2 linked regions of the Styela clava genome follow. The protein of the gene in region 2 interacts with the protein of the main gene of each other region in a pairwise test. Links are inferred from orthologs where the notes say so. Each region holds a gene or a part of one and is shown on either strand. Other genes may lie near its edges.

What was found.
Region 1: the proteins of zinc finger MYND domain-containing protein 11-like (region 2) and PDZ and LIM domain protein 7-like interact in a two-hybrid assay, tested with the Homo sapiens proteins (2 studies listed by BioGRID). The link is inferred for Styela clava from reciprocal best matches to the Homo sapiens genes ZMYND11 and PDLIM7.

Annotation. Positions count from the first base shown.
Region 1 is NC_135261.1:7,125,106-7,138,271, forward strand, and holds PDZ and LIM domain protein 7-like, read left to right. Parts: upstream 1-8,168; 5' UTR 8,169-8,327; coding exon 8,328-9,386; 3' UTR 9,387-11,261; downstream 11,262-13,166. Other genes in the region: sodium-dependent multivitamin transporter-like, read right to left, coding at 1-36. UniProt on the Homo sapiens protein: May function as a scaffold on which the coordinated assembly of proteins can occur. May play a role as an adapter that, via its PDZ domain, localizes LIM-binding proteins to actin filaments of both skeletal muscle and nonmuscle tissues.
Region 2 is NC_135252.1:4,483,881-4,496,649, forward strand, and holds zinc finger MYND domain-containing protein 11-like, read right to left. Parts: upstream 5,188-12,769; 5' UTR 5,178-5,187; coding exon 3,354-5,177; 3' UTR 1,690-3,353; downstream 1-1,689. Other genes in the region: dnaJ homolog subfamily C member 16-like, read right to left, coding at 237-398, 500-638, 1,030-1,251; sin3 histone deacetylase corepressor complex component SDS3-like, read right to left, coding at 6,299-7,231; tRNA (guanine(6)-N(2))-methyltransferase THUMP3-like, read left to right, coding at 8,749-9,426, 10,346-10,443, 10,912-11,078, 11,151-11,250, 11,662-11,866, 12,380-12,526; uncharacterized protein LOC120342985, read left to right, coding at 12,739-12,769. UniProt on the Homo sapiens protein: Chromatin reader that specifically recognizes and binds histone H3.3 trimethylated at 'Lys-36' (H3.3K36me3) and regulates RNA polymerase II elongation. Does not bind other histone H3 subtypes (H3.1 or H3.2).

The sequences.
Region 1 (13,166 bases), on a different chromosome or scaffold from region 2:
ATCCCATACCGAAAAATGAATTTTTGATTCTTCCATTCTTGATTTTGGAAGGTATACTATGTGATGATATCCAGTCCACTAGATTCTGAGATTTCCCTACCGATCATTTAACGATAGCATTGTTTCGTATGCAAGCAACCTATACGACTTTTTAAAGATATCTGAATATTGATAATAACATGCGTCTGAAGCGGATACGAGAACGGAAAAGCAGCAGGAATAAGCGGATGATGCAACACACACTTGCAACTTATCATATATTGATACCCTCGTTACAGCGCCATGCTTGTATAAAGCTGTCAAAACGCGCTTACAGCTGCACGTGCTGTGCGCACGTGTTGCATCTGTCTGGCCTTCGCTTCTTCAGTTATTTCCATTTTAGCGTACGTGACATACTTTTTGCGTTTGCGATACGAATACTAGTAACTAGGAAAGGGTGGTCCAAGGTTGTCGGCTCCGCGGGCCACAAAATTATTTTTGCATTGTTCGCGGGCCACAATAGTGCCAAGTATAGGTAAACAGTGCAATACAAAACAAACGCTTTTATTGTGCGAACACATAGTTATCAGACCTAGCTATTCCAGGCTAATAGAATCTGCATTCTATTTTAAGTTTTCTATGATGCCTATATTGTTTGCATATATTCCCGACCAAATAAATAGAAAGCCAGATAATAATTTAGACTGCCAAGCACCTCATTCAACTTCGCTAGTTGCCTCAGCTAGCCATAACACTAGTCAATTTAGTGACATTTGAGATGTAATAATATGTCAAAAGATTTTTCTGATTTATTTTATTACGAAACAACACGAAATGCGATTTTTTGATTACTCTCCGAATGTGACGCGGGCCATAGATAATGAAGCGGCGGGCCACGCGTGGCCCGCGGGCCTGGGTTTGGACCACCCTGAACTAGGATATATACGGTACCTTTTGCGTCAGCAATCGCCACAATTACAATACGGATACGAGGTATATTGTATAAGTTTAGATTGAAAGACTGGAAATTTGCATATGATTCAAGTGAGTGAACGAAAAGACGAAATAATCGCAGTGGGATCGATTTCATATTTCAATTGGAGAACAAATATCCATTTCTTCGGAGCCAGATTGTTGTTGAAGTAATGATTTGTCAAGGAATGTAAATTTTGATAGGAGATAAAGATATTATGTAACCTAATATGTATATTTCCAGGAAGAAAAGGATCATAAAAAAGTTGCAGTGTGAGGATTTAGGCTGTGTAGCAGTAAGCAAGGATATAAATTGACTAACAGGTGATAATTTATCTCAAAAATCAGAATCAACTTACACCATACAGCCATATCAATGAAAATTTTTGATTGAGGAATTAAAACTCTCGGCAAAAAATATATGTGGTGAACGATACCACATAAATTGATCACACATATTTTAACTTCAAATAATGAGTGTTTTATGATGGATTTTTTTCCATTCATTCTGTCATTGTATACGAAGTCACCAGCTGCATATGACAACATAAGAGGTGCTTTACGTTTGCCATGTGAATCCATTTTGCTTGATTTCATGCTGGTACTAATACCCTTATTCACATAAATTGGATACCTATCATTGCTATTATCTAAACATGGCTTCAACATATATATTATATTTATGATTGTAGATATGCCAAAAAAATTTTGCATCATTTTGTCGAGTGTTTTTAAATTATTGATTTGTAATAAATAGCAATAACTTTTTCATTGAATGCATGAATATTTCTCCTGGAACCGTTACTTTTATTAATTCCAGTTTGTTTTATGAGGTATTCACATTTTTGTTTCAAATAACACTTTGTCAGAGTGGCTGTTATACTTATATATATGAAACACACATGCTTAGATGGTAGACAAGGTCCAAGCTTCAATCGTTGTAGGCAATTTATTTCAAAATATTGTAACTAAAATATAAATTTTTGCAGACTGCTCGAAACTCACTTTTGAAGAATGATTTGCTGTCACCAGATGGGGTTTTGGCATGGAAACACATCTAGAGGGAATTTATGATTATGAAGATCTAAAAAAACATTTGAAACAGCCATTTAAACTAACAGACCAACATGTTTAACTCAATAGCTTGACAAAAATGTCTGGTAAATATTCAGCACAGGAATAGCACAAAGTATTGTAAGTAGATATTAATTTATTGGTATTTTTTATTGGATCTATCTCCTATTGAGCATTTAAATACTTGGAGCATGATTATTATTTCTGGAATTACCAACATTATTCAGGTCATCAATAACAGATGAACCATGGACTTTTTTCTTTCTAGGTTCTTCCTGCATCTGTGAATTTGAAGCAACTGCCAAGTATTGCAAACTTCAGAATACCTTTCTTGGCATATGCAGAAGCATTACAAACGTGGCCTATCTTAAAAACGGAAATCTACTCCCTCTGAAACATCTGGAGACAGAAGACTGCAGTGGATCAGCCAAAATTTCATAAATTATTTTACACACTGAAGTCTACAACAGGTGATTAGCAAAAATAAATGCTATACAGCTGCATGCAACTCATTAGGATAAAAAACAACAACATTTCATTGCTTCTCCAACGTATGAAAGTCTCCAAATATACCATATTAGACCAAACATCTGTCAGACCCCCCCCCCTCCGCTTAAATGTAAAATAAAAGTCTTCTATATTCATTTTCTATATCATACATATAAATTTTTCGTGGCTTGAAACACTTTTTAAAGTCAGACCATCTGGACTATTGAAAACCCACATTTGCCGGCTTCCGCTCAAACCTTCTAGGGGTTTTGGTCTAACTTTTCAACTAACCCTCCCTATGCCCATGACCTTAAATATTGAATAAACCACCAAAAGATTTTCAGTTTAAAAGATGCATATTTTCCAGGTTGCTGGGCTGAGAATCCATCGATGCTCCAGTTCACATATAATGAGAAATTCATTGAAAAGCATTGTGGCAATGTGCATGTGATAGAACCTAAAATTTACCCCCACTAAGAACCACTCCCAAAGCCTCAAAAAACATCAATGCCACTATTAACGTTAATGTATGTTTTGTTGTGAAATCTTTTCTTTCTGTCACTTTCGAAAGCGTAATTTTTTTTAACAATATGAGTTTTATGACTAGCTGAAATTCCTTCACTGTGATAAATTTTTCTGATAACATATCCTGCTATGTAATCTAAAATTTTGATTTCTTCGACTGTGAGATTGGTGGTTATTACGCTTTTAGATTTAGTATTATAATTATAGGCAGTGCTGCCATCGATATGAACCTCAAAATAAGGACAGGGAAACAAAGTAATAAGATAACAATGAATGAAATGTAATAAACAGAATGTAATCATGCAGTGCGACCCTTGTATAATCATTGATCTTATGAATAATCATATCTTATGAAGTTCCAGATCTAAACCAAATTCAAAGTTTAATTTACCGGTATATTCATTCATAAGGACACATGTCAAAATAAGAACGTTTGTTGAAAAAAAGGGCAAAAATGTTTTCTAAGACAAAGGCCTTCGAAATAAGGACGTTATGGCAGCCCTGATTATAGGTCAAATGGAGAAAAAAACTTCTGTAAAAGGTACAACACTTGAGATAAAGTGAGACCAAAACGCTATGCTGCTAAGTTTTTTTTTTTTTTATATAAATATAAGGTGCAAAGTATTCATTTTCGTCACCACCCTACCTACATCTGACTGACATTTTTTGCAATGCATCGCATTTTTGATGCCTTTCTTTCGACAAGACAGACTGTGTCTTCATTTTCACAGTTATTTGTTCATTTTTATCAAATTTTCCACGTCTCTCAGCAAATATTTCGATCAGTAATACACGAACAGGGGAGTTTGCGAGCTCTGATGCAGGAGCGTCGTCGTCGATAAGCACCTTGTCTGAACCTACCGACCGTGACGCCCGCCACTTGGAGGTGCAACATCGCCTTCGTTTGTTTATTATACGGCGAGCGGAGTTGGACATCTAGTAGTAGTATATATTTACGTCCAAACTGTACAATATACGTGTATTATTTTTACCTCTTGGTGACAGCACATTTGCACCCATAAATTTTAGCACCAGCATATGAGTATAAGTTTAATTTGATTCCCCCAGAAACAAACCACACGCAAAACAATGAACACACAAAAGTTTGGGGAAATCTTCAATAAAGTCTAAAATATGGACCCATGTACACTTGCACCCGTTGAAGTTCGCACTCAGATACATTTGCACCTACGTACATTTGTACCTATTCATATCCGCATTCATGAACATTTGCACCCATATCATTTTCACGCACACGCATTCTCCGTTCCATGAACATTTTTACCCGTGGATATTTGCACCTGCATACATTTGTACCCACTGTTATGTTCGCATGAATAGCATCCCTGGTCTACAGGCTAAGTTGGATCTAACGAAACATTACGATCACGATTCAAAAATGCCATAATATATTCAGCCCTGCCTAAATATTATGTATAGGTGTTGAAAATTTGAACCTTGCCAAAAATCCATGTATTATCTAATTCTAAACAGCGAAAAATAAATATTATCAAACCATAAATGCTACCTACATGACTGCTCAAACTTTCTGTCTATAGATTACACCTTTCTTCCAAGTCCTATTATTCGATCGCTTGAAATTAGTAAAAATTGGGCATTGTGATGCCACTGCTACCATTGCGAATGAAATTTGTCATACTATTCTTGAAGTGAGTCAATTACTTTCGCATACTTCAAAAGGTATTATGATCGTTCGTCGGCCAAGACGGCAACACGTCGTTCTGCAAGTTTATTTCTGAACTTAGCGGCGGAGGAACTTCCATTTGTTACGTAATAATTTGCGCTATCGGACATGCCCAGACTCGTATTTGGCGCATGCACTGTACTGTATTCTTCCAGTTTTGGAACAAACACACAACAGGCGCTGCGTGAAACTGGTTCAAGGCAATTTGTCGGAGTATGTTATTGAATTCACTCAACATCAGACAGGATCGACTACTAGAGATGGGGCGATGAACCGGTCGATCGCGATCAACGTGTTGGCCATCCCTCCTCTATTGCGATTCACTTTTATGTTATATTAACTAGGACTGGGAATGATTAGCCAATTTTAGATTGTTAGCGGTTACGATTTATTTAAACCGTTAACTGACATCTAAGGTAAAAGTCATTTTTATAATGTACAATTTTTCCAAAGATGATTACGTCATCGCAAATTTATCGTTTAATTCGAAAGAATATCACTAACTGCATGGTAAGGACCTAATAAATGTGAAAAATAATTGAAGTACCAAGATTGCTGATTATGAACATTTGACAATGATAAATTCAGAATCAGTTTTCGGTCGAAATATATTGTTCACCATTTTTTATTGCAAAATACTATATTCAATGTCATTCAACAAGTGCGCAGTCGATGCTGTGTTACTTCATGATATCTCAGAGTAGAATTTGCACGCCGAACACTGAAAATTTGTCACATGAATGACATTTAAAAACGGATTCGGGTTTAAGTAAAATATTTTCAAATGTCCGAAGCAGGTAGCATATCTCTTGCAGCAGAGCGATCATGATACTATCTTCATTCGTGAATAATTTTGAGCGATACCGGGATAAGATCACGCGAAGTTGCTTTGTAACCATTGTGAAGTAAAAGAGTAAAATTATCAGGTCAAACGTCACGCTGTGATTAACCGGTTGATTTTGCCTGGTTAACGGTTAAAGTGTTTCACCTGAAATTCCCAGTCCTAGTTATAAACCGACGTTTTTCGAAATACTATAAATCATCCTTCCTCCGAACGAACCAACCGAAATAGATTCATGAAATTGCGCACTTGTATAGCTTGGATATCTTCGAAAATGAACCAAGTCCGCGGAGAGCTTATTTATTTATGTATCACTATAACGAGACGAATAAACATACATACATACATATACATATCCCAGTATCGCTCAAAATTAATCACGGGTCTTTGATAGATAGTTATACTTAATATCTAGTTATGACTGCTTGGGCTTGTCCGAGGGGAAAGGTGCGAGTAAACGATGTATAAAAGAGAATGAATCGTATTAAAAAATGAGCACGGATAGATCAAGTGTTTAGGGCACTGTTTCCCAACCCGAGTCCGCGGTCTCAAATGAGTCCGCAGAGCGTTTGAATGAGTCCGCAACGAGTCAGAAATTCACTGCGGGCCGCAAACGTTTTTGCGAAACTTATCCATCAGCCAAGTTACGATTTACGTTAAAATGTACATAAAACATTAAAAGCAAGTTTATTCACATAACATTAATCGAGTCAATAACTACTGGATACTGAGTGGACATATATATATACTGTATTCGAAAATTCAACTATTAGAATAGCAATTTACTATTCGAAAATTTGGTCAGGTGAAGCGACAGGTCACTTGCGCGTCGCTTAATCAAACGATTGGATTTCACAACTCACTTGCGGATTCCCGACGAAAACACGAGTCGGCACACGCATGGATAGCTAAGTGGCGTTTCTCACGAGCTCGAGCAGCGAGGAATAATTTTTTTTCTGGTGTCAATGGTGGCAACCTAAATTTTTCAAATGAAAAAGCGGAAATACAAAAAATAAAACGTAAAACACCATAAGATTTGTTTTATGATGGTCCGCTACCGATTAAAATCGCTTTTTAGACATTGCAAATCGCAAAATTTCGGGTGCTACCGTATGTATCAGGGCATTTTCCCTTAGGATTCTTTGCTTTACTGCCTGCACATTGGTACGTACAGTACTGGAGCGCCGTAAGTGTTGTACGACCAGCTCAGATTTGTCGAATTCACAAAAATACGAATCAAAACAAAATATAATCGGGCACTTTACCACGCATTTTTGTGTCCACGGATTGTCATGGTATTTTCTGAGTAGTATTGCTTTTATTTCGTCAACACAATCACATATTATAATGATCACAATTAAATTAATATTAAACCAAGGCGATGAATAGTTTTTTTGATTTACTAATATGTTTTAATTACCTTTTTAATAAGTACTAAATCAACTTGTACTTTCTGGAAATTTAAAGCAGATAACAAATTCTCAAGATCGCAGAAAATATTTAACAAAACTAAATATAATCGGGCCATATATTCTCACATTAATTTGTTCGCTACTTTTCGTGGCATTTTAAAGAAGTAATGCTTTCATCTTGTCATAAGTCGACGCAACCGCGAGCCATGAACACAATTAAATTAAAATAGAAAGACATTTTAAATTCTCGTCGTTATCATGGATTGAATATTGTGCGATACAAAAGGCCATTTATACACTAAAGAGTCGGCTCTTTTGACAGACGCGTAATTGCGGCAAATTTCCGATTTTGAAATTCGTTAAAATTCTGTTGTGTTTGGTTTTATTACTTCACACAGGATACAATTGCAATAAACGCACGTTGAGTCTGCAAAGATTTTTAACGGTGAGAAAATAGTCCGCGACCAAAAAAGGTTGGGAAACGCTGGTTTAGGGTGTCGAGAGTCCATTTCGGAATAAAGGTCAATGCGTAAATAAATACTAATAAATCGCATGACTGATATAAAATTGATACTATCTCGTTCGATTATCCTTGTGGCAAGGGCCACAAGCGGATCCGAAGTGTGTAGGAATGTATACAAGGAGAAAGGACCTGCAGTACAATATCTTAAAACTCCCCGAAATAAAAATAGTTGTTATTATGGCATTCCTTTTTTCATTATTTTTCAATACTCTAGCAATTAGGTTTCGACTATGGACATGGTGAGAATAGCGCGTTTAAAAAGTAGAATTGTCCTGCTTACAAAGGAATTTTGCCACACAATTTGCGCTCACCACAGAGGTGGTTTGTTAATTGGCTGATTTAACAACATAAAGGCGAGAAATACGCAATTAAAGTTTTTTTCTATTCATTTTTCCCGGTTGTACTATTCTGGTTTCTTGTGATATATTATCATTTGCATATGTGACATAAGCTGCAATATCATAGCGTATTAGGTCATCGCTTATATCTGAAAAAAAAGAGAACCGCCCTCTGTTTTTACACGTTTGGAAGTTGTATACGTCAGAATTTACGCGAACTCGTAATGCGCATTTGTATCTGTCGCGTGTGTGTGTGTTCGTGCGCGTAATTATTACCTTATAAGGAAGATGCGCAATCCATATTCGGGTCAAGCCTACATTTGTTACGCCGGTGTCATTTCTCGCAGGCGTCGGTAGCGGCCGCATCAAGGTAGTAAAGTTTTAAGCTTTCGCAGTTTTATTCGTCACAACTAGACTTTGAATTCGCTTTCTCGTTTGAATAGAAGTTTATTTTATCGATAACTAAAATATGTCGTACTCGCTCGAAGGAGGAAGTCCATGGGGCTTTCGTCTTACCGGAGGAAAAGATTTCCGTACGGAATTGGTAATTTCTAAAATTACACCGGGAGGAAAAGCAGATCGTGCTGGTATAAAATGTGGCATGGCTTTATCGGAAATAAATAATCAACCTACCGCAAATATGACTCATATGGAAGCTCAAGGTCAAGTAAAAAACGCTGGGCATACACTAGTATTAATTGTCAAGAATAAAGATGATAGTGTTTCATATGCTACCAGCGGTGTTGAGAATTTGAATATTTCTTCACCACCAAAGCCATCCGTCCAAACAAGTGCAACTTATGTGAAACCAGTGCAAACTTCTGTACCTCAGCCTAATCGGTATCAACCAAGCAAACCAGCCCCCGCTCCTGATTTTCTTCCACCCCCACCAGCAGATGAGCCTCTTCCTCCGCCGCCACAAAGCATGCTCGGGCCTGGACCACAGATGAAGCAACAGTCTAACAAAGGGGATGAAAGTGATCCAATATGTGAAGGGTGTAGGAAGATTATTCTTGGTCCTTATCTGTCACATCAAGGCAAGAATTGGCACATTGATGAATTTGTATGCGCTGCGAGCAATTGTAGAAAACCACTTCAAAATATCGGCTTTATTGACGAAGGGGGAGAGAGATACTGCAAAGATTGCTATGAGAAGCATTTTGCTCACACATGTGGAAAATGTCACAAAAAAGTTGTCGGCGAAGTAATGCATGCTCTTGGCCAAACCTGGCATATGACATGCTTTGTATGTAAAGCATGTGGTCAAACCTTCAAAGATGGTGTATTTCAAATGCAAGGTGATCAACCATACTGTATTACTGACTACAATCGTCTGTTTAGCCAGGTATGCAAAGGGTGCAACTTTACCATCGAAGCTGGAGATAGTTATTTGGAAGCACTTAGTGCACAGTGGCATGATACGTGCTTCGAATGTGCTGTTTGCCATTGTGACCTTAAAACTGTAGGATTTTTTGCAGCTGGTGGAAAACCTGTTTGTAGCAATCACAGAAATGCCAGGGTTGCATGAACAACACAACATATAAGACTCATTTGATGTTATATTTTTTTGATATCGCCCAGCGTTGTTTTGTATGGTACATTGTCATCCTTTATGGGTGACTGGTAAAACCACATTCCCTGATTAGGATGAGATTATTTTTCCTGCTGCATTGTTTTCTATATCCTGAGATTCTAATTTACAGAAGTACACCAGATAACTGAAATACTATTGTAATTTAACATGAACATCAAGATCATTTTTCTTTCTCAATTGGAAGACTGATAATAATGCATCATGACTATTGTACTAAGCTAGTGTCAATTATAGAAAGTGCTCGTATAATTAATTAGCTCTTTTTGCTCTATTTAGTTTTGCTACAATATACATACAAAAAAATGGTGTCTCTCGATAAAAAATTTTGAAATTATTGTCAACAATCTAAATGCTATGTTTCCCGGAGTGGTTTAATTAAAAATTTATACGAAACAATATCTTGCCTTTGCAATTGGCTCTCAGGTTCAAAATAAGTTAACATGGAAATACACAATTGTAGCCCTCAGTTTTGATGCTTTTCATAGTAAAGCTTGCAGTGGCATTTTAGAATGTTAATATAATATTTACCTTTCATTATCTGTTTAAAATTCTGTTTGCTACCAGACGTATGCCCAGTATACAATCCATTGACTTTTATATGAATCACCAAATTACATTCAGATATTTGTAGCTTGTGAGTGTTGTGACTACAATCAGTGCTTTTATATTTTCTATTATGAATGGTTGCTTTTAACTTCTGTAAATGGATTTTTCATCTTATGTCAAAGAATTAAACAAATGTCCTCATTTGAATTTGTGCTGTCGGAATATCACAGCATTGATAAGACTAAATCATCATCGGTCGGAAATTTGTTGCTCTCAACGTATAACATAGCTTGAAATATTAAGATTTTCCATATTTTGTGTATTCATGTTATCATTTGTTACTGTAAGACTTATTTTTATTTACTTGCCTCCATTGCTGTAACCTTGTCAATTGTGATCTAAATCATTGTTATCAAATGTATGGTGGAAATTTTGTATATAATTTTGATTTTGCACTAGCATTTTTTTGTTTTATCCCAGTTGTATTATTAATAACCATTTTATCTACATGCGCATCAATAAAGTGCACTTTTAATATGATATATTACTGTACATATACATAATTCATTGTGATTATTGTCACTTATCAATGCTTGTAATAGGCTACATAGTATGAATTATTGGATTGATCTTTTACTTATCAAATAACTCTCTTTAATCGATCTCCGCTGCATTGATTATATCAAACCCTCTTGATCATATTAATTACATTCCAATCAAATATTTTTGCTCAATATAAATTGAAATGCTGTCCATTGTCTTGAAATATTTCTTATTCTGCTTTTATATTTTTCATCCAATTGTCTATAATTAACACAATCTGTAGCTTGGTATATACAGTGCTTTGTCTATTTTGCCATCAAAATATAATATATTGCTCATGTAAGTCAGGATATTACTGATAAAGTCAGATGGTGTTATCATATATTCAGGATACCATACTAAATTTCAAGTCCTGTTTAGCTGACTGGTGTTGCTCAAAACTTAGCCAATTCTCCTTTCCATGACTGACTGGAAAACACATCCCAGCTTTGATGAACTGGTTTATAACAGAAGCCTTGATTTAACAGTAAATTATCACTTTAATAAATGTTGCCCAATTCATAATAATTTTGAACTGGTTATGCTGGCCCTTTACTAACCCTGGCGTTTTCGGTGCTTTGTTAGTTTTAGGTTAAGGCAAACCGGATGACTATTTTGTAACAATTATATATATTAAGCCTAATGTTTTAATATGGTTTTGAATAAATATGGCAAACCTTTTATGCTGATATTATTAATTGCATTGTGTTTATTATGCTGACAACCTGTCAGGTTATGAGATGTTTACCAAAATGTAGCAAGCCAATAGAAGCTATTTTATTTACATTCAGTCGGGTTTGTTAAACGTCTAAAGCTTATTCGATTTGGTAATATTCATCGCCGTGAGCGTATTATACACAACAGGCAGTTCGCTCTATCGTTATGTATTAATCACTGTTCTTGCCCGAGGTGTGGAAACTCACACCCCCATGACAATAACACAATATTTAGCACTCGCTTTAGATTTAGAACGAATATGTTATCTCGTTTTAGAAATATTCACAGTTCCCCTTTATCTTAGATAATCTTGCAAGTAATTGTGGAAACGAAGACTAAATGCAGGGCGAAGGGTGTGATGATAGACTGCATGTTGCATAACGTGTTAGTTGAAAACATAAGTGCGAAAAAGGAAAATATACAAACATGGATAGACCCATTCACCCATGTCGAATTGTTCAGATTTCCTTCAACAAAATTCTTTCGTTGTCAATCGTTCCAGGTATAAACTCTTTTAGACTTTTACTATTTGTTTCCTCTAACCGAGTTATTATTACCGTGCCCTCGCAGAGACGTCGACACGTCCATCCCGCACCGCGACCTTAATTACCGGTACCCTTAATACTACTAAAAAGTGTATACGCTAAAACTGCAAACTGATCTGAGTTGCTCGCCAGTGTATTAGAATAATTAGATGCAACTGCGTAAATTTGCATACCTATGTCAAAATTTCAATTCTTCGAAATGTTTGCGTAACTTTTGGAGAAAGCAGTTAGGTACTTTTCCCCAATGGCCATTTCAATAACCTTAGGCTATTGATAGTTGCCATACGGATAACACGTTTGATTTTGTTGTTGGGTACTACTGCCCACAAAGTGCAATGCTTTATATATATAATGACCCGCTCTTTATTGGAAGTTTTCAAATGTCTGTATCCTAAATGAGAAAGAGTGTATAATAATGAATGTGTCGTGAATACTCGTGATCAGTGTTTTGTTATAAAATAATATACTCAGCGACTGTAGTTATATATATATATATATATATATTTACGGTTATATTGTCAAAGTACTGTATATATAAAATGATACAACCACAAGAGATAAAACAAAGGCAACAGACCAGTTCCCGTTTGTGCAATTACTCAGCGTCCTAGGTTAACGCCATGGTCATGCACATTCCAGATTGGGTGCGTCGATGAATTGAAGGTATCTTTTTGCACCCACCTGCAGTCGGGTTTACACAACTAGCAGGAGTAAAAAGTTGTCTAACGCAGTGGTTCCCAACCTTTCTACTCTGGCGGACCGGTTAAATTAAATAAAATGTACTCGCGGACCGGCAAAAATTGAAATGAGTGGAACAGGGAATAATAACATAATATATTTGCGTAATCGGGCAATCACTATGCTTTTAGAAAAAAAGGTACACTTAAAAACATTTCACATGAGGAAAAACGATCAAATAATGTTCCACCCATTATGAATAAAAAGGGCACACATAAAAAGATGTAGTACGGTACATGCTAAATCGTGTACAAACACAATTAACTCCAGTGAGAATTTTGCTACTTTTCCGTTTCCAATACAGGATTACAAACGAAGCATCAAAAAAGGTTTTGCAACACGTAGCTCTGCAGCGGCTCACAGTCAATTTATTTGCTTCGTTTTAATTTTAAGCTAGAAGTAACTGGTTGAATATTCGGACAACAGTTTGTTTGCTCGATTACTTAGCGATGGGTATTCGTTATCAAGAGATTTCGAAAATGAATTGTGACAATGATTCTTTTATAAATCTGGACTGTGGAGTAGTGGTTTTATCGGGCTCAAAATCCTGCTGTGCATCACCCGGAAAATATCTCATCGGCCCCCG
Region 2 (12,769 bases):
GCCCAATATTTCTACTGAAATGAATAAATAGATGATACATTGCTATTCGATCGAACCAACCATCATTATTTTAAATTTAACTTATTAAGATAGAACTAAGAATGTTTGAAGAAAAAATATAATGGGACATGGGAGTATAGCACAGCCCAAAAACCATAGTATATCTATAATTAAATTTTACTGAGGTTAAGGCAGCATGTGGTTTACAATAGAAAAATGCAAATATAAAAACTCACCAAGGTTTTCAATATCAGATGCAGCTTTATGCCAAGTTGTTCTCAACCATAATATACATTGAGCACAAAATGTTGAGTAAACGTAAATGAGATGAGGTGTATGATGACTGTCTGGTAAAATTCTTGTATAATAGTCATGGATTGAAATAGTTCGACTAGATCCTGGAAGGGGAAGATTTTCCAGTTTTAAATAAGATTTTACTGAAACAATAACGATAAGACAACTACCAATTTTCCTATTTTTTATGGCATTGACTATTCACCTTGAGAACTGAAGAAGTCATGTGAGAAATCAGAATAACGAAAGTTGAAGGATTCGCTCTGGTGATGCCATTGTCCTACATTGTCACCAGTATAACCACCTGTATCATATTGTTCTCTCTTGTTTTCATCTGATAAAATCTGTAAAGAAAGACTTGAATGTCATGACAATTCACTTCAAGCTCTTCAAATTATCATAAAATAGGTTGTAAAATTGTATAGGAAATCTTCAGATTTGTGTTTTTTATATTAATTCAACATCAGGGGCATAGGCATTTTTTTAAAAGGGGGGGGGGGGGGGGGGGTTCAAGAAACAGAAGAAATAATTCACAGGCAATAGCTCCTAAAACAGGAGCAGCGATTACATGAGCAGCACTATTATGATATAATAACTAATTTTCCCCAAACTCTCAGTCTCAAATTGAGGGTCCGACCCACAAACCCGCCTGGGACATTTATTGAAAGTCCACGAATCTCATATACATGAAATGGTCAAACCTTGGGCACTATACTGTAAACGATATAGGCCTACCTCATAAGCTTGTTGTATCTTGATGAATTTCTCCTGTGCATTTGGTGATTTGTTTTTATCAGGATGCCATTCTTTGACAAGTTTTTTGTACTTAGATCTCACATCTAATTGTGACGCAGAATGATCTAAGCTCATAACCTCATATGGATCAAAATTTATTGTTTCACATAAAGTTGAAGTCAGCAGACATGCATGAAGGATTGAACAAATTCCAATTCTCATATTTACAAAGTGAAGATGCTGTAAAATGCGATAAAGAGAATATTTATTACAGGAGCTTTAGAACATATTATCTCTCTTGGATATTCTGGTTATCTCGATTTTATTACTCTATTTTTTGAACTCTAAATAAAACATTGAAAACTCAACTCAAACTGCATGCTATAGTTTAAGAATTCAACTACTTTCCTTAACACTGTGATAATAAATTTTATTCATAATTCAATTTGAAGTTACATTTCCTAGCAGTCTGATGGATTAAATAACATGAGAATTCAGGACTTCAAGAAAATTACGTGATTATGAGCCTGTGGGAAACTCAGGGAATAGACAACGTCAGTATAAATCCATGCAATGACTCAATATATTTGCTTTACTCACCGATAGAATCTATGTCTCGTCCTTTGTGTTATGTATCCAAAAAAATTAAGAAAAGACAACTTAGTTTTTAAAGCTTTACTAAAGTAAGGAATATTGAACACAAAATTGAGCAATGATTAGAATAAGACACAATGCAAAAAACACAAAAGAAAATTAGGCGTTAACAGATTTGTGTTTCTAAGTATACAATAAATCAAAAAATAAAAAAATCCATCAGAAAAAAATTGAATATACAACACCCCATTTGCACTCAATTATTGAATTTCATACAAATTTTCTGGTATGTGGACAGTCTTACTCATAAACAGTTTGCAATCACCAACAAAAAACTACCTGTAGATGGCAGACAAAAAATTCATGCTACAGGTTCAGATGATATAAACACAAATACAGTGAAAATTTCTTATTATTTTAACTCCATACTGAAAACAAGTAGGTCAATTACATTCTTTGATTGCAAATTTCTGTTATTGATTTGTAAAGAGATACGAAAAATTGAAATTACCGTAATTTACTCCCAATGGAAATGATATAATTTAGTTTAGAAAATTATTTCTATCTGGATCAAACAATGTAATAATGAGATGAATTTATCAATCTGCGAGATGGAATAAAAATCTCAGCAACGGGCAAGGACATATCTTGGGCGTTTTTCTGTATTGTAGACATTTTATCAATACCACCAACTTTTGAATTCAGCATAACCTGGATTGTTTCGATGAATTTCAATTATAAATATTTGATATTAATGGAGTTTTATCCATATGTCCAAAAATGAGAGTACCGGTATCTGATGATTTATGCTATGAACCCAGTATTCTAAAAAATTGGTCAAAACTAATGTGACATTGTTACCTTTTTTGAATTGTTCATTTTTATATTAAAACATTAGCAGAGCCGATATAACTACAGTATTTAAATTGAAAAAAAATTCCTTCCAATTGATTGAATTGAAATTAATTTGATATGGCTAAATATCAGCAACATTTTTACCAACTTAGGTTATTGGAGTAGCAGTATTGGCGGAGTAGCAGTATTGGCGAGCATCGTGATGTTGAGTAAATGTGATTTTTGTAGGAAGCATGATTACAAAGAGACAACACCAAGCTAAACTCAAGATTCATGTAGAAAGAGAAATATTATAATTCATGATTGAAAAAAAATTCTTTCATGTAATATTTTCATTCCAAATTATTGAACAGTGATTGATATACAGGTTTGTAACCAGTGTAGATAAAAACATAATACATAGATGAGAATAAAAAGACAAGTCTTGCGATGCAAGGCTATATGAAACATGGAAGCAGCCATTTTTATTTTTCACTTTCATACTTAAAATTTTTAAAGGCATACACAGAGATGAATTTTTAGTATGATGATAAGGTTAAATTAAAAAGATTCATTGACAGATGCACAGTTGGCGTTAACGCATGCAATTTTCTGTACTCCCGAAATGTGTGTACCAGGATAGGGTTAGGCCATAATTTATTAGGATTTTCCTCATTTTAGTTCTATTAGGGAGTTCAGGGACAGTCTGTGTTAGCCAAGTGAATAGGGACAGTCTGTGTTAGCCAAGTGAATATAGCCCCTGCCCATAGGTTTCAGTACTAGTACACATACTCCTGGAGCGCCCAATTTTTAATATATATATGAAACAAATTGATGACTGAGGATATCCAAATAATATAGTGAATGATAATCAGATCCAAGTTATGTAAGAAAAATTAAATTAATATTGTCGTGTCCATTACTGCACTTTCAGCGTTCTCAGGAAATCTTGATTTTAGCAATTTGTTTTCTGATTTTAATCGAGCTACTTCCTCTTCAAGATCTTGTGCGCGAGTGAATTGCTGTTTTAAATATCGCCGAATGTACAATGCACTTGAAATCAACAAATGCTTTCGCTCTACTGTTCTCATTTTTCTCACAGATGCTTTATATCGAGATAACACTAATTGATATCGTTTACGACAGTTGCATTTAAATGACTTGGACAATTGATTTTTTTCTGATTCCACTTTGTGTGCTTTTCTAGAACTTTGGATATTTGGGTATGCAAGACCAGAGTATTTTTTCTTTAAATTATATTTTTTGATTAAAACAATGCAGTCAGTTCCATATTGCCAAGTACGAGCACATTCACTATTCGGTTTTGCCTTTTCACCAAGCACTAAGATCTGCTTTTTTCTATCTGCATGCGTAGTTTGTATAATCCCTATCACAGCAGAACTTCCACTAGTATTGCTTTCAGATTCAGTTATGCTCTCCGGTTTAAGCCTAGACTTTGAGATTTTTAAACGAATTTTGCCTTGTTTTTCTGTCGTAAAGTCCTTCGGATTTGCCTTACGCTTTGCTGCTTTTGTCTGCAGCTCAATGTTTGAAAGTTCTTGTCCTCTATCAGAGGATTCCTCGCTTGAACATTCATAGTCAAAAGAAACAATTTGAGCAGCATAGTTTGACCCATAAACTTTTTCAGTCTGTATGATGTATTCTTTCATTTCAGCATTAGCTTTATTCCAACTTTTAGTTATCTTGATTTGTAATTCTGAAGGACTAACAACAATGCTTCTCATACTATCAACTTTAACCCATGCTCTCTCATGATGACCACCAAAAAATCGAACATCCACTTGATCATTATTTACTTGAATAACCTTAGCAGGCCAATATTCAAATCCTTTTTGCTTGGCCCAAACAACTCTATGAGGTGGCTGACATGGAGTGCTAAACCAATCTTTTGTTGGTTTTGTGCTGGACAGAAAGTAACAGTTAGAGCATAAAGACAATTCCTTGACTTCATGCATACATGTTTCCAACACACTTTTGGCAGATTTTGAATATTCATGGTTTTCACCGAGCAGAAGTATGCAATTATGAACAATCAGTTCTACATAACAAAGAAAATCCAAGGCAACTTCAAATTTATTCTCTTTACATAACTTCTCCAGTTCATATAAATTCATATGCTGCTTTATAAAGTAATTATAATGCATATAACCTTCCGCATCAGGATGATGCGATATCTCTGGAAAATTTTCCATTGCTCGGTGAGCAATAAATCTCAAACATTTGTTAAATATTTCCTTACTTTTTCTGGTATGATTGACATCCAATAACGCAGTATTTTTCCGTCTACAGTATTTACAACTTTTGGTTTCTTCTATTGAATTTTCCATACATTCCTTATGAAAAGCTTTCACACAATCTTTGCATTTCAAGAGTCTACCAGGTTTATGACATATGAAACAATACCAATCATGAGTTTGTTCATACCAGTGAACTTTAGAATCTTCTGGAATCCAATAACCTTCTTGTTCCATCCCAGCTTTGGAACCTTTGCAACCAACTGAAACCGTTTCTACAACCATATTGTCCTTCACAGCCTTCAAAATATGATGTAAAATTTCTTTTGGAGTATAGGAGTACTCTCTTTGTATAACTTTAGATATTCGGGAAAGATTGGCAATTTGACGTTGGCCACGAATAACATCAATTGCTTTCCAAATACGCTGAAGAGCAACGGGTTCAGAATGTCTACAAAATGACATTTTGTTTTATTAGGGTTTTTAAAATCTTTAGGCTAAATAAAAGAATAGAATGTTATACAAATATGTACAAAAAATAAACAAAATTCTGCTAAAGCAGCCACCGGTTGAAAGGTTGAAAATTAAGCATCGTCAGTTGTCATAATATGGTATTTGTTAGATCAAGACATTACAAGAATATGAAACTTATTCCTGTCAACTTAGGTATACAATTAAAAATATGATTGCTGACGATTCAGCAGTATCCATCAGCAAGTGAAAACAAATTGTCAAACGGAACCTTATTCTATTAAAACTGATCATAAAGCAATGGTATAACTCAACAGTTTATTTTCACTTCACACTATGACAGGGATAGGCAGAAACAGAATAATCCACATCCCAAACACAGGATGAAAAATAATTATGAATATGAAATATCTGAATCAAGGGTGTGTAACATTTTTTATCAATGGGCCATATAACCAACATCAGACATCTAGTTGAGTCACACAAGAAATTTAGCAGTAAAGACAAGACGAGAGATTGCGGCTTTCGCTTAGCCTTACAGTAATAAATGCATTGAGCAAAACAGCGAAAGATTCAATGCAGCGACAAGAGCAAAAAGAAACATTATGTATTTTATCCATGTGAGCGCCTTTATAAACATAAAACATCATATTAGGATTTGACACCCCTGATCTAAATAATATTCTAATATAATATCACTTTGAAACTATTTATGTTTGCAGTTATATACGACAGATGCTCCACAAAACAACTTTCATAGCAAAACATTTTAAAATAATAAAATTGCTCCCTGAAGAAGAGATGCTAAAATCAGACATCAAACCTCATACTTTTTTATAGCCTAATTCATGGATCTAATACAACAAAATTTCACAATCATAAAATTGTTTATACTCCGTAATATTATTAAGTACATCACAATATTAGCACAATGTCCACATACTTTCGTCTTAAACAAGTCTCTGGATAAGGCATTAGTGCATACAGACTTCCCACAAGACCCGTATTTTGGGGAATAAAAGGTTGTCATTCTCACAACAGTGCACCTTCGGTGACATCCTGTGGTAACAACACATTTACTGATGACATTATATGGTAATGCGCCAATGTCACTGTCATTGAGTCATTCTCTTTTTTATTCCATACTTTCCTCTATGAAGCTGTGAAGCAAATATCCGTACAGACACACCTGATGTTTTGCGAATTGTAATTTCTCTGTCAGCGATCACTGTAATAACTCCACTGAACTTTGTGTTATCTTTGTAATTATAAATAAAAACTGGCTGCCCCCTGTGATACCATTTCTTATCATATAATAATTTTCCTCCCTCGATTCGAGCTTCTACTGGTTGTCCACTCGTATTGTGAGATTCCACTGATATTTCATGAGAAAGTTTTGCTGGTTTGCCTTTGTTAATGATTTTAAGATCTTCTAGAATTTCTTCATCATCAAGTACAAAATTTAGTTGCGTTGGACTCGGTTTTCGGCGTTTATCATTATTTGCTGGGGCAGGGTCATGTGCTCGTCGACGTAAATTACGTTTCACTTGTGTTTTCGCATCTCCCATTGAAGGACAAACTCCTGTGAGCTCCATTGTATGACGCTCAGATTCGATCATTTTCTTTTTCTCCTGTAATTCTGCAATTAAGTTTTCTTTTAATTCAACCTTCTTTTCATCAAAGTCTTTCATAGCAGCTTTTTTCTCTCGTTCATATTCTTGTTCAACTTTATACAATAAATATTCTTGATGTGCATGAGCTTGTCTTTGTCTATCTTTGTGAACTTGTTCCAGTTTCTTCAATCTTTTACAATATTCTTGCAAAGTGCCAGAATCAAGTTGTGCTAGTTGCTTTTTTAGTTGACCAAGTTTGTCCCTATATATCTGGTCCAAAGCTTCTTCTTCAAATTTAGCTCGGTCAGTTTCACTAGCGTCATCCGTGTCTTCATCATGACCTCTGCTTTGCCTGCTCGATCTCCCCTCACTATTCTTTGGTGATTTTTCATCATCAAAACTGTCATATTCATCTTCTTCCGACATTTTCTTCATTTAGAGGCCTACTGTTTATAAGTTGTGAATAATTAGGATCTGCGTGGACACAAAGCGATACTTTTACAAGAATATCACATCTCCAATATTGTAATATGACTTTTATGCTACCACCACTATCTGACTACCGGTACAGGACTATAGAGAATATCCAGTCTCTGATCCATACGGTCATACCTGGGTCTACTGGTCTAGGTAGTTTAGTCAGTTAGTACAACAAGCATTTCTAGTGGGAGTAGCATAACGATTTCTGCATACAGGCATAGGCCTATCCTATGTCATTTCTAACCCCCATGACTATGCCATGTAAAACGCACGGTACCGGTACGTCACTGCAACGTCACAATCACTGAATAAAAGCTTGTCAAAGTACAGCGATTACCCGTAAAGGCGCATGCGAGTATGGAACAAACGCCGGCGACCTCTCTCGTACCTTCACCGTTTCGCAGAGCTAAAATGAATACGCAACTCAAGCGAGACACCAATTTTGACCAACGTTCACGATATCCTCATCTGAGCAACTTGTGATTTCGTGGGTAAGCACATTAATTTACATTCATGCAACTATATTGTACCACACTTAAGTAACGAGGCATTGTATGTTTTCGCTCTAAGCGAGGCTTTAGACAAGCAGAAGCGGACGTATTAATCTACGTTTACACAATGGGTGTAGTTGGGACCATACACCTAAAACCAGAAAGACTTGTTATTATACCGTGTGTCCTGCGATAGGTCATGTACCGGTATTGTGTCACACTTCATTAATAAGGCGTTATACGTTTTCACTCTAAGCAAGGCTTTAGTCAAGCAGGAACGGACGTATTAATTTACGTTCACGCAACACACACGTGAATACTATGACAGTTTAGCAGACATTTCCATTTTAGTATGGACATAGCCAATTTACTGATTTAGCAGAGACATAGCCTTTTTACTTTAGTATGGGCATTGCTATTTCAGTATGAACATAGCCGTTTTAGGATGGACATAGCCATTTTAGTAGGGCATAGGCATAGCAAACATATATAGCAATTTTAGTAGGGACATATCGTACCAAGCGCATAACAAACAATAAAAACAAAATAATTACAGAATCAGGAGGGCAAACAAAGCCTTATGTAAGCTTTAGAAGGTGCCAAATTTAAATTAAAAGTTTTACAACCGAAAGGAAGTGGAAAATATAGAATTAATTCAAACACAGCAAAACAGATAAAACAAATAAATAACGAGGGAAACTTAGGATAATGTTTCATAGTCTGATAGTACTATAACAAATAAAGTAGAAAACTAGAACTGTGAAAAATGAATCACATTGATAATTTTGTTATATGGATTGCCAATTTGAATACCGAATTGATAAACAATAAACTGAAATTGTGAAATAAACCCACTTTATGTTAAGGGCAGATGGTATCTCATTTTACTGGTGATACGGTCAACAAATAAGGCATAGTTATGAACGACCACCCTTTTACCCCTTCTCTTTATACTCACTCCCATCTTATTTTTCCTAAAGTATGAATCCCAACCATATTAACCCAGACAATAATGTCACTGTTGCTGCATCTGTGGCAACAGGGCTTGAAAAAGTGGCTGCAAATGAAATACAAGAAAAATTTCCATATATGGATAAGAGTGATGTAATTGTCAAGCAAGGTCGTGTGTATTGGAAAACAAACAGAAGTTCTTTAGCACTTGCTCATAAATTGAGGTCGATTGATCGCATGTTTTTGATTGTAAAAACATGTGAAAACTATATTTACAAGGAAACTAAAGAAGAATCTTATGCTGATCTTGTACAATTAGCAAGAGAAATCAACTGGTCTGATATTGTAAAATTTTGGGGCTACAATAAGCAGTACTGCAAAGGTAAATCAAGACAAGAAAACCTTTACAAAAAGTACCCAAAATCTCAGGCAAAAGGCAATTCCTATTGCAACGGGGATAAATTGGATGACTCTCCTAGGGAACCAGCAAAAGATGACATTTTAGCATCATCTGATACTGAGCCTCAAGAACCAAAAAAGCCACGAACAAGTCAAAATGGGACTCCTATTGTACCCAATATAGCCCCAGATGGAACATTGGTGCGATATCGTGTCACAACTAATAGAGTTGGAAAAAAACAACCTGTCACTTCCCCCGAAGCATCTTATCGATTTGGAGGCGAGATTCAAGATATTACAGATTGGCAGGTGAGGTTTTGTTTTCTAACATTATATTGTAAAAGATTGGACTGATTGTCTACACTCTACAGCAGCGTTTCCCAAACTGTGTTCCGCCGAACACTAGTGTTTCGCGAGCGTCTTCCGAGTGTTCTGTGAAAAATAAATCAAAAATACGTCTAAATGGGTCACCATGGCGATCTAGGGATCGTGAAGTTGTCGCCCAACTGACCGTTCAATATCGTGTCACCGTTGGCCTAAAGCGGACTAACTAAGGTAAGGTAGGGGCATATTCGTTAACCGTCGGCCTAGCTTTTTGACTGTTAAGTTCATTATCAAGTTTGCAGCAATCCTTTTGGTTTTGCTATAGGCAAACAGGTAGGTCTTAAGAATAAAGGCAAATGGTCAACTCTTCTTCCGTCATCTCTGTCTGATTTTACTTTGAAATGCCGAAAAAATTACTCATGTTCGCTAAACTCGATTCAGCAGATAAATAAACTGCAGCTCGCGAAGTTGCAGAAAGTACTTCTGTGTAAAACCACGGGCTGCCCATTTGTTTAACATAGGCTTTCTAGTAGTTGCAAGCAAAAATACTTTGGCCCCATGACATGCATTGTTTGTTTCGCACAAGCTAGTTAGGGCATTGTAACTTCATAGGCATAGATAAAAAATATTTGGACTCAGTTACGGTATATGCTTTACAACGTAAAGGGATTGAAATTACTTGCACGTACCAGATTAAACCAAATTGCTAACTTGTTACAATTTTTTCTTGTGAACCGCATTCGGCCCATGGGCCACAGTTTGCACACTCGTGTTCGACAGCCTTGATCACATTAAATTTCAAATCATTTCATAAAAAAAAATATTCTTATGCTGTCAATATCATTTATTAATAAATATCAAATTTTCAAAATGGATTGAAATTTACAAAGTGTGTTCATTTCAGGTTGATTTGTCAAATTACAACTTGGAGATTATGCTATGTCTAGGAGAGAGTTCATTGGAAGTTGCAGTAGCATTGACTCTTCAGAGTTTGCACAGAAGGTTATTATTAAAACAATATCTCAGTTGGTCAATAAGCCATATATTTAACAACATTATTACAAATGAAATAGATAATGGTATAAATTCTATTTTGTGTTTCAACTGCAGTCATATTTTGCTTTGTCTACAAATAGATCACCCCCGTTTTTCATCATTCAAGATTGAGTCACGAATGCCTTCTTATTTGCTGTTGTTGACATTATTGTTGCTTGTATTTAAAAATGTTATTTTAAATGCCAGTTTCATCCTATAATATTTTTCGTTTAAAAAATGTCAATTAGGCTGAGCTAAATAAGCAATTGAAATGTTGTACAGCACATCTTGAAATATGTAAATATTCACCAAGGTTTTTGAGAGTGTGAGGACTGAGGAGGTTAAAAGACACTTGTTTAGCGTAGTAATTTTATTAAAATGGGGATCTTTTAACCTTAATTAAACATAGTTATTGATATCTCTTTTTATTTTTAGGAATATTACTCATTTTGGTGCAACCACACTACGTGCTACAACTGCTTATTGCATGCTTAGAATGTGTAATATACAGACGGGAGAATTGGTTGTCGACCCAATGTGTGGTTCAGGTGCTATACCAGTTGAAGGTGCTTTGGAATGGCCAAATAGTTATCATATAGGAGGTATTGATTGCTTTGTGTCATTTAGTTCAATGTAAAAAATAACAGCATAATAAACTCAGCTCTAAATTTTAGGTGACAACACTAGTTCGGCCACAGAAAGATGTTCTTGTAATTTACAATTTATTAACGAAAATCCAGATTTTGTAGATGGACACCATGAAAAAGACAAAAGGTTGGTGATTATGATTTAAAATTGAAAAATACTCCAGTGTTAAATAAGGTAGACTTTGTCTAAAAAGAGATGAAAATGCTGGCTTTCATAGATTCATGATAAAAGGAAGTACAGTATTCTACAAATTATATCTTTTGGATCACTATATATAAACTTTATCATTTTATTATGTGATATGGATTTCTGACAAAAATTAAAATCAGAAACAAGTGTAATGGTGACGAATTTCAATGTTCTTGGTAACGGTAGAACATCGCTGCAGTCATGCATTTTACCCTGCTTTTCTTTAGTTGAAAATGCATCAATTACTGGTGTATTATAGATTCCGGTCGACATCTTTTGGATTTTATCATTGTATAAACTTATTTATTTGATTGTCCTTATCAATAATAACCATCCTATTTTGCAAAGAATGAACCTCAGAGCAGATACCATACAATGGGATGTTACTTGTCTTCCACTGAAGACTAATTCAATCGATGTTGTGGTATCAGATTTACCATTTGGGAAACGTGTTGGATCTAAAGTTGATAATCGTAAACTGTATCCAGCATTATTAAAAGAACTTGCACGAGTAACTATATGTGACAGTGGAAGAGCATGTTTGCTCACACAGGTATAATAGCCTTTACTTTAATTGTTAACATAGTTTGGTATGTGGATTGAATTCTTAGTTCTGCTTAGTGGTGCCTGGTTCGCAGACCATCATAGACACTTGTGACAATTATTGACCCGTTGTGTCTTCAGACAAAGGACACTTATGAAATTTCATATTTGTGGGTTCGGTATTGTTAGTTACAGTTAGCCTTAACTTTGATAGCCTTTGAGGTTTAAGATCTTGGGCTGAAATCCCATGCTCACCACCTCACACAGGGTGTAATAAATTGGCTATGCGATGTCGAATTGAAATAATTTTGGTTCGTCCTAAATGAAAGTTGCACCTTATCAATGACTGCTTATGCACAGCCTTTTCCGAGCAACTGAAATGCAAGCTGAAATATTTCAGCTTTGAGCTATTTCTTGCTTCAATATGCTATGTGTATATCTTCATAGAAAATGGCCATTCATTATTTATAAAAAACTGGCACAGTTTTTCTCCTATTAATTTCACCCTTTTAACATAATTTAGGACAAAAGAACAATTAAACGATCAATTGATGGACTTCACTTCCTATGGAAATTGAAAAAGACGCAATATATCAACATTGGTGGCTTGACAGCAGGAGTGTTCTTGTTGCAACGTACAAAGAATAATTTTGAGGACATGCCAAGCTAGATTAAAAATGAAAGATTATAAGTCTGAAATTTCCTTCTCAGTTTATAGTCCCTTTGTTCAGATGTGTTTGCAGATGAATAGTATGCCAGTGAATTACCATTTTGAAATTACCGCCATGTTACTGACTCTGTTCTGTTGGTCCTCATGAATTAATCATAATGACTGCTTTCAAATTTTCTTTAGGATTTATTTAACTTCTATTAATCTATTATATGAATATGGATGCAAATGTTGTTACTTTGA